3 linked regions of the Alligator mississippiensis genome follow. The protein of the gene in region 2 interacts with the protein of the main gene of each other region in a pairwise test. Links are inferred from orthologs where the notes say so. Each region holds a gene or a part of one and is shown on either strand. Other genes may lie near its edges. The genes, in order: PPP1R3D, EPM2A and PPP1R3C.

Evidence for each region.
Region 1: the proteins of EPM2A (region 2) and PPP1R3D interact in a two-hybrid assay, tested with the Homo sapiens proteins (2 studies listed by BioGRID, with this or other methods). The link is inferred for Alligator mississippiensis from reciprocal best matches to the Homo sapiens genes EPM2A and PPP1R3D.
Region 3: the proteins of EPM2A (region 2) and PPP1R3C interact in binary tests that used the Homo sapiens proteins (3 or more experiments, as listed by UniProt). The link is inferred for Alligator mississippiensis from reciprocal best matches to the Homo sapiens genes EPM2A and PPP1R3C.

What each region holds. Positions count from the first base shown.
Region 1 is NC_081832.1:7,444,797-7,448,545, forward strand, and holds the start of PPP1R3D (protein phosphatase 1 regulatory subunit 3D), read left to right. Parts: upstream 1-1,472; 5' UTR 1,473-1,482; coding exon 1,483-2,319; 3' UTR 2,320-3,749. UniProt on the Homo sapiens protein: Seems to act as a glycogen-targeting subunit for PP1. PP1 is essential for cell division, and participates in the regulation of glycogen metabolism, muscle contractility and protein synthesis.
Region 2 is NC_081824.1:125,595,980-125,599,728, forward strand, and holds the start of EPM2A (laforin), read right to left. Parts: upstream 2,881-3,749; 5' UTR 2,645-2,880; coding exon 2,383-2,644; intron 2,318-2,382; exon of another isoform or gene 2,216-2,317; intron 395-2,215; exon of another isoform or gene 336-394; intron 1-335. UniProt on the Homo sapiens protein: Plays an important role in preventing glycogen hyperphosphorylation and the formation of insoluble aggregates, via its activity as glycogen phosphatase, and by promoting the ubiquitination of proteins involved in glycogen metabolism via its interaction with the E3 ubiquitin ligase NHLRC1/malin.
Region 3 is NC_081829.1:68,912,522-68,916,270, forward strand, and holds the start of PPP1R3C (protein phosphatase 1 regulatory subunit 3C), read right to left. Parts: upstream 2,447-3,749; 5' UTR 2,314-2,446; exon of another isoform or gene 1,924-2,313; intron 801-1,923; 5' UTR 800-800; coding exon 1-799.

The sequences.
Region 1 (3,749 bases), on a different chromosome or scaffold from region 2:
CTTGCTCTGCCTCCCCAGCCTTGGGAGACACGCAATGTTCATCAATACCTACTAATTATGCTAATTGATTGATTCCATCATGACATTGCCTAGCAACACTCATGTGGGGCCAGGATGCCACGAAGTGAAGGCAATCAGGACTTGTGGAAGGCGTAAGGTGGCCATCGAGGTACTTCAAGAATAGAGAACAGTTGCTTTTAGTGCAACTGTCTTGAGGTACCTTGAGGACGACCCCACCACAAGTCCCGATTGCCTTCACCCCATGGCACCCTGGCCTCACCTGGGTGCTGCTAGGCAATGTCATGATGCATTCCATTAATGAGCATAATTAGTTGCTATTGATGCAATTATTAATAAATGTGATCCATTAGTAATGATAGACTTTGGGTCAATGATTCCCACGGATCCTGACTTTCTCTTAGCGAAAAAAAAACAATCCCCAGTTTTTGGTTTAAAAAAAAGGAACCCAAAATCCACATTTTCCAGTGACTAAAATGAAACACCATTATATAGTCAGGTATCCAGGTTGTAGCCATATTGGTCTAAAGGAAAAGGCAATCAGGACTCGTAGTAGAGACAATCCCTTTTATTAGACACACAAGATTTTTGCAAAAAAACCCAAAACAATTCTTTAATCTCAAGCTTTGTTTGTGCCCGAAAGCTTTAAATGAAAGAAAAAATTGTTGCATACCACTATATATCTATAGATATATATGATAGATATATATCTATAGGTATCTATAGATCTATCTATCTAGATCTATCTATCTAGATCTATAGATACATATATCTATCTATAGATATATCTATCTATATAGATACATAGATATATCTATCTGTATAGAGATAAATATATGATAGATATATATCTATAGATACATATCTATAGAGCTATCTATAGATATAGATATATAGATACATAGATATATCTATCTATATATAAATATATGATAGATATATATGTATAGATATATATCTATAGAGCTATCTATAGATATAGATATAGCTATCTATCTATCTATCTATCTAGATAGATAGATAGATAGATAGATAGATAGATAGATAGATAAGAGTGATTTCATTTTAATCACGGAAACGTAGATTTGGGGTTCTTTTTTTTTTTTTTTTTAACCAAAAATTGTGGATTTTTTTTTTTTAATCTGATTTTTAAAAAATCCTCTGGTTTTCTCTGAGAAAACCAGGATCCCCGATGATTACTAATGAACACTCCTGCCCTCCTCCCCCTGTCTCCTCCCTCCTCCTTTCCCTTCCCCTCCCCCCTACCCATCCCGCAGACTGCAGGTGCCTAGTGAGGGCAACCCGAGGGCAGCGGCTTCGCGACACCCAGTGCGCACGCTCCTTACTCGGAGCATGCGCAGAAAGGCCCGCGGCTCTGATTCGTCGGTGGCGCGGGCGGCGTGACGTCACGGGCGCCGCGTTGCCAAGCGCCGCGGGCCGGGCCGGGCCGGGCCGGGCCGGGCGATGGCGGCGCTGCGGGCGGGCCCGTGGGTGCCGGAGTCGGCGCTGCGGGCCCCGCGGCGCAGCCCCAGCTACCTGTCGGGGCTGCGGGCCGGCGAGGCGCGGCCGCCGAGCAGCTGCGACCCGGACCTGCGGCCCATCATACGCCGGCGAGCGCGCTCCTTGCCCACGTCCCCCGAGCGGCGGAAGCGAGCCGCGGCGCAGTGCCCCGTGCCGGGCTGCCGCAGCCCCATGAACCGCGTGCGGTTCGCCGACGCCTTGGGCCTGGAGCTGACCCAAGTGAAGGTCTTCCAGAGCAGCGAGGACCCCTCCGTGCCCCTGCACGTGCTGTCCCGCCTCTCCATCAACTCGGCGCTGTGCTGCAGCAGCTTGGACCTGGAGTTCGCCATGCAGTGCCTGGTGCCCGACTTCCCGCCGCCGGCCGACGCCGCCGATTTCACCGCCCGGCTCCGGCGCCAGCGCGTGTGCCTGGAGCGCGTGAGCAGCTCGGACCTGGGGCTGGGCGGCACCGTGCGCGTCCTCAACGTGGCGTTCGAGAAGCAGGTGTCGGTGCGCTACACCTTCGACCGGTGGCAGAGCCTGCACGAGGTGTGCGCCCTCTGGCACAGCGGCGTCGCCGAAGGGGACGGGCTGGGCCCCGCCGACGTCTTCACGTTCTTCCTCCCGGTGCCTCCTTTCCTGCTGCGGCCCTGCTCCGTGGTCCAGCTGGCGGTGCGGTACCGAGTCGACGGGCACGAGTACTGGGATAACAACGAGGGCCAGAACTACAGCTTCACCTGCAGGAGCCACCCGCTCAAGATGCCTCGGGAGTGCGAAGAGAGCTGGATCCACTTCATCTAAGCGCCGCGGCGCCGCCCTCTCCGACGGCAGACGAGGGTCTTTGGGGCAATCCGATATCCTAAACCAACGCGGCTGCGACCTCTCCCGTGGCACCGCAGGAAGCCTGCTGAAGCCCGTCGCGCCGTTCAGAGATGTTTCAAAATAAGAAAATAAGAGCTCTTTGCAAAGCACTTCTTGGGCGTTAAAAAGCTGCCTGCTGTCTCACGCGATTCAAGAGATCTCTCAGCATGGCAGGGCAGCGTTGGCTCAACGGGGCGCTGCTGCCAGATTTAAAGCTAGAACGTCTAAAAGCAAAACAGAGCTCTTGGGAAATACTATAGATTGCGCAGGCAGAACTTTTTTAACTAATGTTTCATAATTTTAACGGCCTTTCTGTTTTGCACTTCATTGGGAAATGGACTGTTTTGCTTTGTAGTTTTGTTAGGATGCCACTTCTTACACACTGGTTCTTGGGCATTGTGCCACTGATGCAAAGTCTAGGATGCAGGTGCTGCGAGGGAATGTTTATATTTAGGTCCATTTTTATTAATATTTAAAACGCATTTAATATTTTTATTGTTGGTTTTCATTATTTTTAGCAACCACTGGCTATTAGATGGATACTATCTGACAGTGGCCCTAAAAAAATAAGTTGTAAACCTGGTGCCTTTTCTTATCTGCAGTGCATGTTATAGATGCAGTCAAAGGGATTGTTAACCACAGCGTAGTGTTTGTTAAATTGTGAGGCTGCCCTTTGTGGGGAAGTTCTCTTCTTTTTTTTTTTTTTTTCCATGTGAAATACATGTGGGTCTCTGGAAAAAGGAAAAAAAAAAAAAAGATGTTTCCCTTTTTGAATAACTGCTCTTACTAAGTAACTCCATAGCAGTGTTGCACTTCTTCCTGAAGATAGCACTTCTGCTGTCCGTTCTACCTGAAGATAACCTGGTGATAAAAGAGAAATGCTAATGAATTAAGCCTCTCAACTCCTGTGGGAGGCTAGTAATTATGCCTATTTATAAGTGGGGAAACAGATTTGAGATGCTAAATGCCAAGGCCATACAGTGACCAGGCTGTAGAATCGAATCCACGAGTTCTGGTGCTTATGTCTCTGTTGCAGTCTCCTCACTCTGTGGCAGTAGTGTCTTGAACCCTATAATTACCTGCTTTTACTCAGTTAAACAAAAATGCCCTGGCTCCTCCTGCTCCAGCACAATGTGGTGGCTTCTAGGAGGGATGAAGGCATGGCCGGTGCCACTGTGGATCCACTGGTAAGAGTCTCTCTTATGCGGTAGTGGGGGGATGGCCTCCCCCATACACAACCTATTGCACTGCCTCTAGTGGGGTGAGGATTGAGTCCTATACAGTTTTGGCAACACACAGGCTTAAATTCAGATAAGGGAAGTCAATGCCTCCTACAGTGAAAATGCCTGAAAAGCTGTATTTACCTTGCA
Region 2 (3,749 bases):
CAAGTACAAATAATAAGGTTTAAAACCACCGCTCTAGATAAACCAGCCGTTTTATTTTTGACTGAAATAACTCAGCTTCAAAATCGTAACACTTGCATGAGCACTGCTCCTACAAGGAGCAAGTCAACCACTGTCAGTATATCTGCTGTTAAAATTGCCTACGCTTCCACAGCTTTCTGTTTCTCATACAAGCCTTGGGGCAATAACTTCAGACTGACACCAAAGCCAGCTCAAAACATGAAGCTCTATTTCTATAAAATGTGTAAACTTTGAAAGTCTACTTATGATATGTGTAGAAGAACCTAGCAAATTATTATACTGAACTTGGCACCTACTATTGATCCTTTGGATGAGTGAGAGATTTTGATTTCATAAATTCACTTTTCCAGGACTTCTGCAAAAGAAAGATATTATCAAAACAGGTAGAGCATGCTGTGTAATTTAGTCATTAAATGCAAGAAATTTAATCAGTGGCACATCTTATTTACATCACAAACAAATGTCACTCTCGAAGACTGAATGTTAACGAACTATTCTCTTTCCTCAGTGTATTTATTTTGCTTTCTTTTACATGCAATTATGGCAACTTGTTTTCCTCCAAGCAGGTGTAAGTAACTCCTGAGATTTTGTATGTATCCCTCCAAATGTGCGAAGTGCAGCTGTGCTGTCACGGTTCCTCTGTGTACAGATTCAGCTTTTAAGGAACTATTTAAAAAAGGTAAAATGCAAAAATGTTTTTAATCTAAAAAATGAATGGATGCTCCTTATTAAAAGAGTAAGGATTCTTAAGTCCAACTTTGCTCCATCCACCATCTATAATGCCTATTGCTAAGAAAAAAATCAATTCAATTTTTAGTTGGTTCAGCAAATGTCAGGATACTCATTCTCTCCTCTGTACAAGATACTACAGTGATATTCAGTGAAATAGCACAATTAACATGACAAATACTATGCAACACTTGATGGCTTTGTGCAGTGAGGGCCAACTTTATTAGCAGGCATACCACAAATTAGCCCCACACCCTCTTGGGAGTGCCACTCTGCTTCCCTTCCTTTACCAAATCTGCTGCTGTGCTTCCTCTTCTGTGCTGTGCTCCCTGCCAGATCCGCTGCTCTGCTATCTGCTCCCTGTCCATGTTTCCTGCCTGATCAGCCACTCCACTTTCTGTTCCCTACCTCTATGCTGCCTCTCCGCTGCCTGATCTGCTACATGCCACCCCCTGCTATTATTCCTGCCATTTGTGGCTCCCGAGCCACAGATTGATCACACCTAGCACTAGCACATGAGGTGGGTAAGGAGGGAAAAAGGCCAACACATCCAAGTGATGACTTGTTGGGCTAGAGACGCCACAGGAAACCCTCTAGCCGTTCTGTTTGATAGCCATGAATAGCAAGAGAACGATGTCAGAGCCAGGCTTGATGCTCCTGATGATGCAGCTCGCTTGAGATGCAGCGTACCATGCTGGTGGGGAAGCTGTACTTGTATGTCTCTCACATGCGTGCACAGAGCATGGGCTTGACACCTGATTGCATACCTGTGCAGGGCACGGCTTTGGCACGAGCCCAGGGTGGACAATGGGTGCAGTGCTCGCTGCGCTGAAGGTCCTCCCTGCCCCTCTTGGCTTCCACATGCTCAGTGGGTGCCAGAGCCCTGCTGTGCGCAAAGGAAGGGGCCACCAGGATGCCACCAGCTGAGGCAGGTGGAGAGGTACCATGTGGCCCACCTGCCCTCGTGGGGGGGGGGGGGCCCTGGAGGGAGACTGAGCAAGGCGAGACCTCCTCATAGCCTCCTCCCAGGGGAACCCTGAGCTCCACAGCCAGGACACCATCAATGGGGGTGGAGCCAACCAGCCACATGCCAAATGACACCTCATTTGCAAACATGCATATTCATGTATGTCAGTATCTGCAGCTGTGGCACAGGGCAGCCCCGAGTTCCACAGCGACATCATCAATGGGGCGGAGCCAACCAGCCACCTGCCAAGTAGCACCTCATTTGCATGTGTGCATATTCATAAATATGTCAATGTATTAGGTGGGGGCCGAGGGCAGCCTCCAGCTCCACAGGATGAGATCAGCAACGGTGGGGGGGCGGGCAACCAGCAACATGCCACGTGACACCTCATTTACATACGCTTATATTCCTACACATGCAAATATATGTAAATGTACACGGGCGCAGGTAAATATGGGGGAAAGGCGCAGCAAACGATACCTTCACGCTCCGGGGCGAGAGGAGCCCCGCCCCTCCCCCCGGCATTCGGCTCCAGAAGCGGGGCCACTTAACAGCCAAGGAGAGCCGCCCCGCCCCGCCCCTCCCGTGACGTAAGCATATTGCGTCACAACGGGGAGGGCAGGCCGTCGCGGCCGCCCCGCCCTTACCTTCCCAGGTGACGTCATCGCCTTGCCGCCGCAGGAACTTGTACCAGAAGGGGGCGGCGGCCTCGTGGTCTGGCAGCGCCGCCTCCGCCAGCCATAGCGTGGGCTCCTGGGCGGGCCGCGGCGCCGTGGGGCGCGCCGGCTTCATGGGCAGCGCGCGCTGCGGGTCCCACTGGCCAAGCTCCGGCCGTGAGCCGGCCACCAGCAGCGCCACGCCGCCCTCCGTCATCCGCGCCGGCACCACCACCCCGAAGCGGAACAGCATGGCCGCGCCTGGGGCTGGGACCGGGAGTGAGGGGGGCAAACTCAGTCCCCTCGTGGTTGCCGGAGGGATCGCAAGCTCTAGCGTCTTCCGGGTTGTGACGTCATGACGCCGGCGCGCGGACGTCCCCAAAGAACGGGGGTTCGAGCCCCACTACCCGACCGGCACGTGACTGACTGGCTGAGCAGGTGGCTGCATACTTTGCGCATGCGCGGGGCTTGGCTTCCCACCCCAGCTCCAGTGTCGGTCTACGCCCACCCGCAGCGGCGAGCGTTCGAGGCTGCATGCTGTGAGCATGCGTAGGGCATAGACGCTTGCTGGTGTCCAGGAAGCGGGCGGCCGCTGGGCTGGTCGCGCGTCCTTGGCACCGTTGCCACGTGCACGATCAGATTGTATTTGTAGGATACTTTCAACCCCGGCACGAAGTACGATCAGTAATAGTAAAAGTGCTCAACATACATGTAGGATAACTTCTGAGGCAGCTGACTGACGCAGCATGTGCAAAACCCAAGTCACTTGGGGACTCAACCCCCTTTGGGGTCTGCTGGTGGCATTTTCTTACCACTGCTCGCTTCCAAATAAAGAAATGCTTCAACTTCTATGACCCAGTTCTCACTCGCTCACTGTCACCTACAGGGAGCATTATAAAGTAAATAAGCCTAACTTGCATGCTTTTTTAGCATATGATAATTTCAAGCTTCCAATATGGTAATTTCATATTTAAGACCTGCAAAGCTGTTCCCCTGCAGACACTGCTTCAGCTGCTCTGGGATCTGGGCATGGGGCTCAAGCCGGTGCCGGCTCAGGTGTGCTGGGGGGATGGGGTCCATGGGTAGGGTCCGTGCCCTGCGTAGGTCTGATTAGACCTAGGGGCCAGATGTCTGACACCCTTCCCCTCTTCAACCCCCTCTCTAGCATCCATCGCTTATTGGGCTAGAGATGCCACCGGAAACCCTCCAGCCTTTCTGTTCAATAGCCATAAATAGATCTGTCATCCACAGTCAGTTGGCATGTGCCTAATTGCCCAACCATGCAGCCACAAACACATCTAGCCCCCTTTTGAACCCAGCTCTGCTACCAGACTCCACCACCTCCTGTGGCAACGAGT
Region 3 (3,749 bases), on a different chromosome or scaffold from region 2:
ATGCTGGTACTTGGACACCATCAGGTTTCCATTCTGCATGGAGAATTTTATAGTTCTGACCCTCATTATTGTCCCAGAAGATGTGCTCTCCACTTTGGTAAGAAATGCAAAATTCAGTCTTCTCTTGAATGGGAATGGCTGTAGGCAGGTCAATGGCAAATGAGAAGGTATCACTATCGGAGTCTCCGTACACATTGTTCATGTAGACACAGTCAACATTGGTGTAACTTTTCCATGTATCAAAGGTAATCCGAACCTGAACCATTTTCTCAAAGCTGACATTTTTCACTTTCACTGTCCCCGATACTGCCCTTTCTTGCAGTGTACAATTTTCGAGGCAGACAAAATTCTTTTGCAACCGATTCCGGAAGTCTAAATAGTCAGCTGAAGGCTGAGAGAAACCCAGAATCAAGTTTTTCTCTTCATGTAGTTTTAAACTGGCTGTTATGTCCTCAAGATCTAACAAGTTAAATTGAAGATCCCATACAGGATGCTCCTGGAATTCAGAGAAGACGTGTATTGCGGTCAAAGAAAGCCCTTTTGAGTCCGCAAACACAACTCGTTTTTTGGCTCGGCTTGGTGAACGGTTCCAGTCGTTACTCTGAGACTCAGATTCTCGTTTCAAATTGAGACACGACCTTAGAGGCTTAAATCTGTTAACAAAGTTGTTTCTTTGACAGTCATCAAGGGGACTGAGAAAACTCTTCAGAGGTGGAGAATGGGCTAAGCATATTCTCATGGCCACATCAACAGGCATCATAGAGGTGGGCAAATGTCTTGGGTCCAAGATCTGTATCATTCTGAAATTGAGTGGGGAGACAGCATGTTAGGTTGTTTGCTACATCAGGTATACATTGGAAGAGAGCTTCCTAAGGAGCTCCGCATGCTTGACTTCATACAGTGTCCTAATTATTCAATGCAATACAAAAAACAAACTGTGGTTCAGTTGGAGCTAAGGAATTAGCATAAATCAATCAACCATTCTTGAGAATTCTGGATTGTTTGGATTTGGCCAGATTCTTTCATTTTTCCCAACAAACCTCTCTGCAAGAGAGGATTTTAAATTACACAATTATTCAAAATATACTTTCACCCCCCTTCCCCTAGCAGATATTCATATCAAAATATACTTTCACCCCCCTTCCCCCTAGCAGATATTCACGCATGAAAGAGGATTTTCATACACTAGTACAGATCTTGCTATTCATAATGAAAGGGTGCATCTGATTTAGAAAGCTCCAGTCAAAAAGGTACTAAGCAAGTTTCCATAGATTTTGGCAAATTGGTTCATCTGGAAATAACACTATATGACTCAGGTTAGATGCTATGTTCACATCATAAATAAAAATATTTTCAAGCCCGTTTGAATTATTCTAATGCACAAGAGGTCAAGCTCATTTGATTAACAACACTTTTTCACCTAGCTCTAAGTACTAGGGGCATACTGTACCTTCTTTTGGCTAATTTAAGTTATGCAAAAAGAATGTGATTCTCCCTATCCCCCCTCCCCCCCCACCTCAGTGCAATGAGATAATATAGCAGCTCTTAAAAATGCTTTCCTTCTGCAATCATCTTTAAATTCATGTGTAAGATCTACCACTGACCTACTGTAAGACTATAGGGGTTTTATGCTACAGTCTAATTATAAACCATCTCATCCCCTAGTGACTATTCAGGAAATACATCCTGGACGTATAGGTTTGTGAGCTGGGCTTCCAGTGCAATCCTTTTGACAGCTGTCGTGTATTCTGCATTAAAATCTAAAATTCTGTTGCGTCATAAGAAGTGAGAATATTTGCTTTGTCATGTTCAGAAACAGGTTTCTCCTTCCAGCACTTTCACTGGTACGGCAGAGCAGTGCGAGAAATAGGTGGGGGAGGATTTTTTTTTTTTTTTTTTTTTTTTTTTTTAACTAGGCTCCAAGTCTCATGGCTCTGGGCTGTTAGGGCAAGCAGTGGGGGAAGACAAGCAAGGCAGCACTCTTAGCTGAACGCAGCATATTCTCAGTCTCCGGGGTGGCATACACCCCACCGCCCTCTTGGAAGTTCCCAGCCCAGTTTTCTTCCCACAAACCAGCAATTCAAATCCCGACAATTCTGCTGCTTTTGCAGCCGCCTCTCCCTCGTTATGCTAAGAATGATCGAGGAGCAAGGAGAAGGCAGGGCGGGCCCCCAAGTCAGGGCCGCCTGGGACGGGGCGCTTTCGGGCCCTGGGCGAGAGCGGGGAGACGAGAGAAGCCGGGTGTCGGGCCGGCCCCGCCGCGCTGGCGGTCACAGACGCTGCCTGCCCCGGGAGCGGGTCCCCTGGACTTACCTGGCGCAGGTGATTAGCCAGCGCGGTGCGGCGAGATGCTTCTGCTCCGCGGTCGCTCGGGTGCAGGCTCTCGCTTGCGGCTCGCCCTGCCCGGCCCTGCCCGGCCCGGCCCCGCTCTGCTGCAGCGCCGCCCCGGCCGCTTATCTAGAGCCGCGCTGCCCCTTCACGCGGAGCCGCCCGCAGCCAACCCCGCCCCGCTGGCTCCGTCCCGCTGCCCCGCCAGCTGCCGCGGCCGCCCCTGCGGGACTGGGGGGCGCTCCCGGCCAGCCCCGGGGGCCCGCATGGCGGGCTTTCTGCCGACGCACATCAGCAGATTTCAGGGGGCGCATTGCCTTGAGGCGCCTCCCGGGGTGTGGGGATCATCACCGCACTTCCTTTACAAGCAAACTGCATTTCCTAAACGTGGAGTCGGGCCTCCAGGGGTATTTAGTGGTGGGAGCAGCTGTCATGGATATGGGCTGAAGCAGCATAAGCCCGCGGGGGAGGGCGCGGTTCTGAGGGGTCCCCACTGCCCGGTGCCAGAGGCGAGGGTCCCTTGTAGGCTACTGAGGAAAGCCCTGATCCGAAACATGGGAAGGGATAAAGTGCTGCTCCCTGTCAGCGCCCCACTGCTGTCGGTGGGCTTCCCCCTCCACGAGGGGCCTGCCCGCAGGAGCTTGGTTGCGGGGTGAACATCTATCCCCGCTTATTTTGTAGGACTGGACTGGGAAGCCCTGGGCTGCTGGAAGGAGGAGGTGTCAGGAAAGCAAGGGCTGTTTATTCTCTCCCCCCCAACACCTAAGAACATACGAAAAATAGCCCAACAAGCAAGTTCACTTGGTTTCTAAATGTAATATTTTTAACCAGCTGCAAAGTGAATAACAGCCCCTCTCCAGACAGCAAGCCAGGCAAATAGCTGCCATTCGTTTCCTAATAGAAAATGTAAATGATGAGGTAGCTCCCATGTTTGTATTTTTATATATATTTAACCTTAAAGTCTGCAAATACCAGCAAGTACTGTAGGATCGGGTGGAGGAATTATTTGCAATATATTTAAACACATTGACAAGAGACAGCATGTTGTGATATTTTGGTTTACAAAGACCTCCTGTCTTGCACAGTTTTAGCAGCTCCCAGTTTGATATCTTCTCTTTGAGGCTGCATTAAGGACTGAACCATTACCCAAGTGGGACCACACTTCTAGGATTAAAATGTAGCTTTTCTTAATCCCTTCTAGTCCCCTACAAACTGCAAAACTCCACCAAAGTTGTTTCCAAAACCACTGTTCTTGAAGAAACTTTTATTTTTTTAACATCTCTTCCCCACCCCTCACCCCTTTTTTTTCTAAGTCAGGGCACTTGAATCGTTTTATGTTTGAGAAAACATTTTTCGGAGCTGATTGCCCATGGAACTGCATCAGTGAAGGTGCTGAGCACAGATCTCTGAGAATTGACACT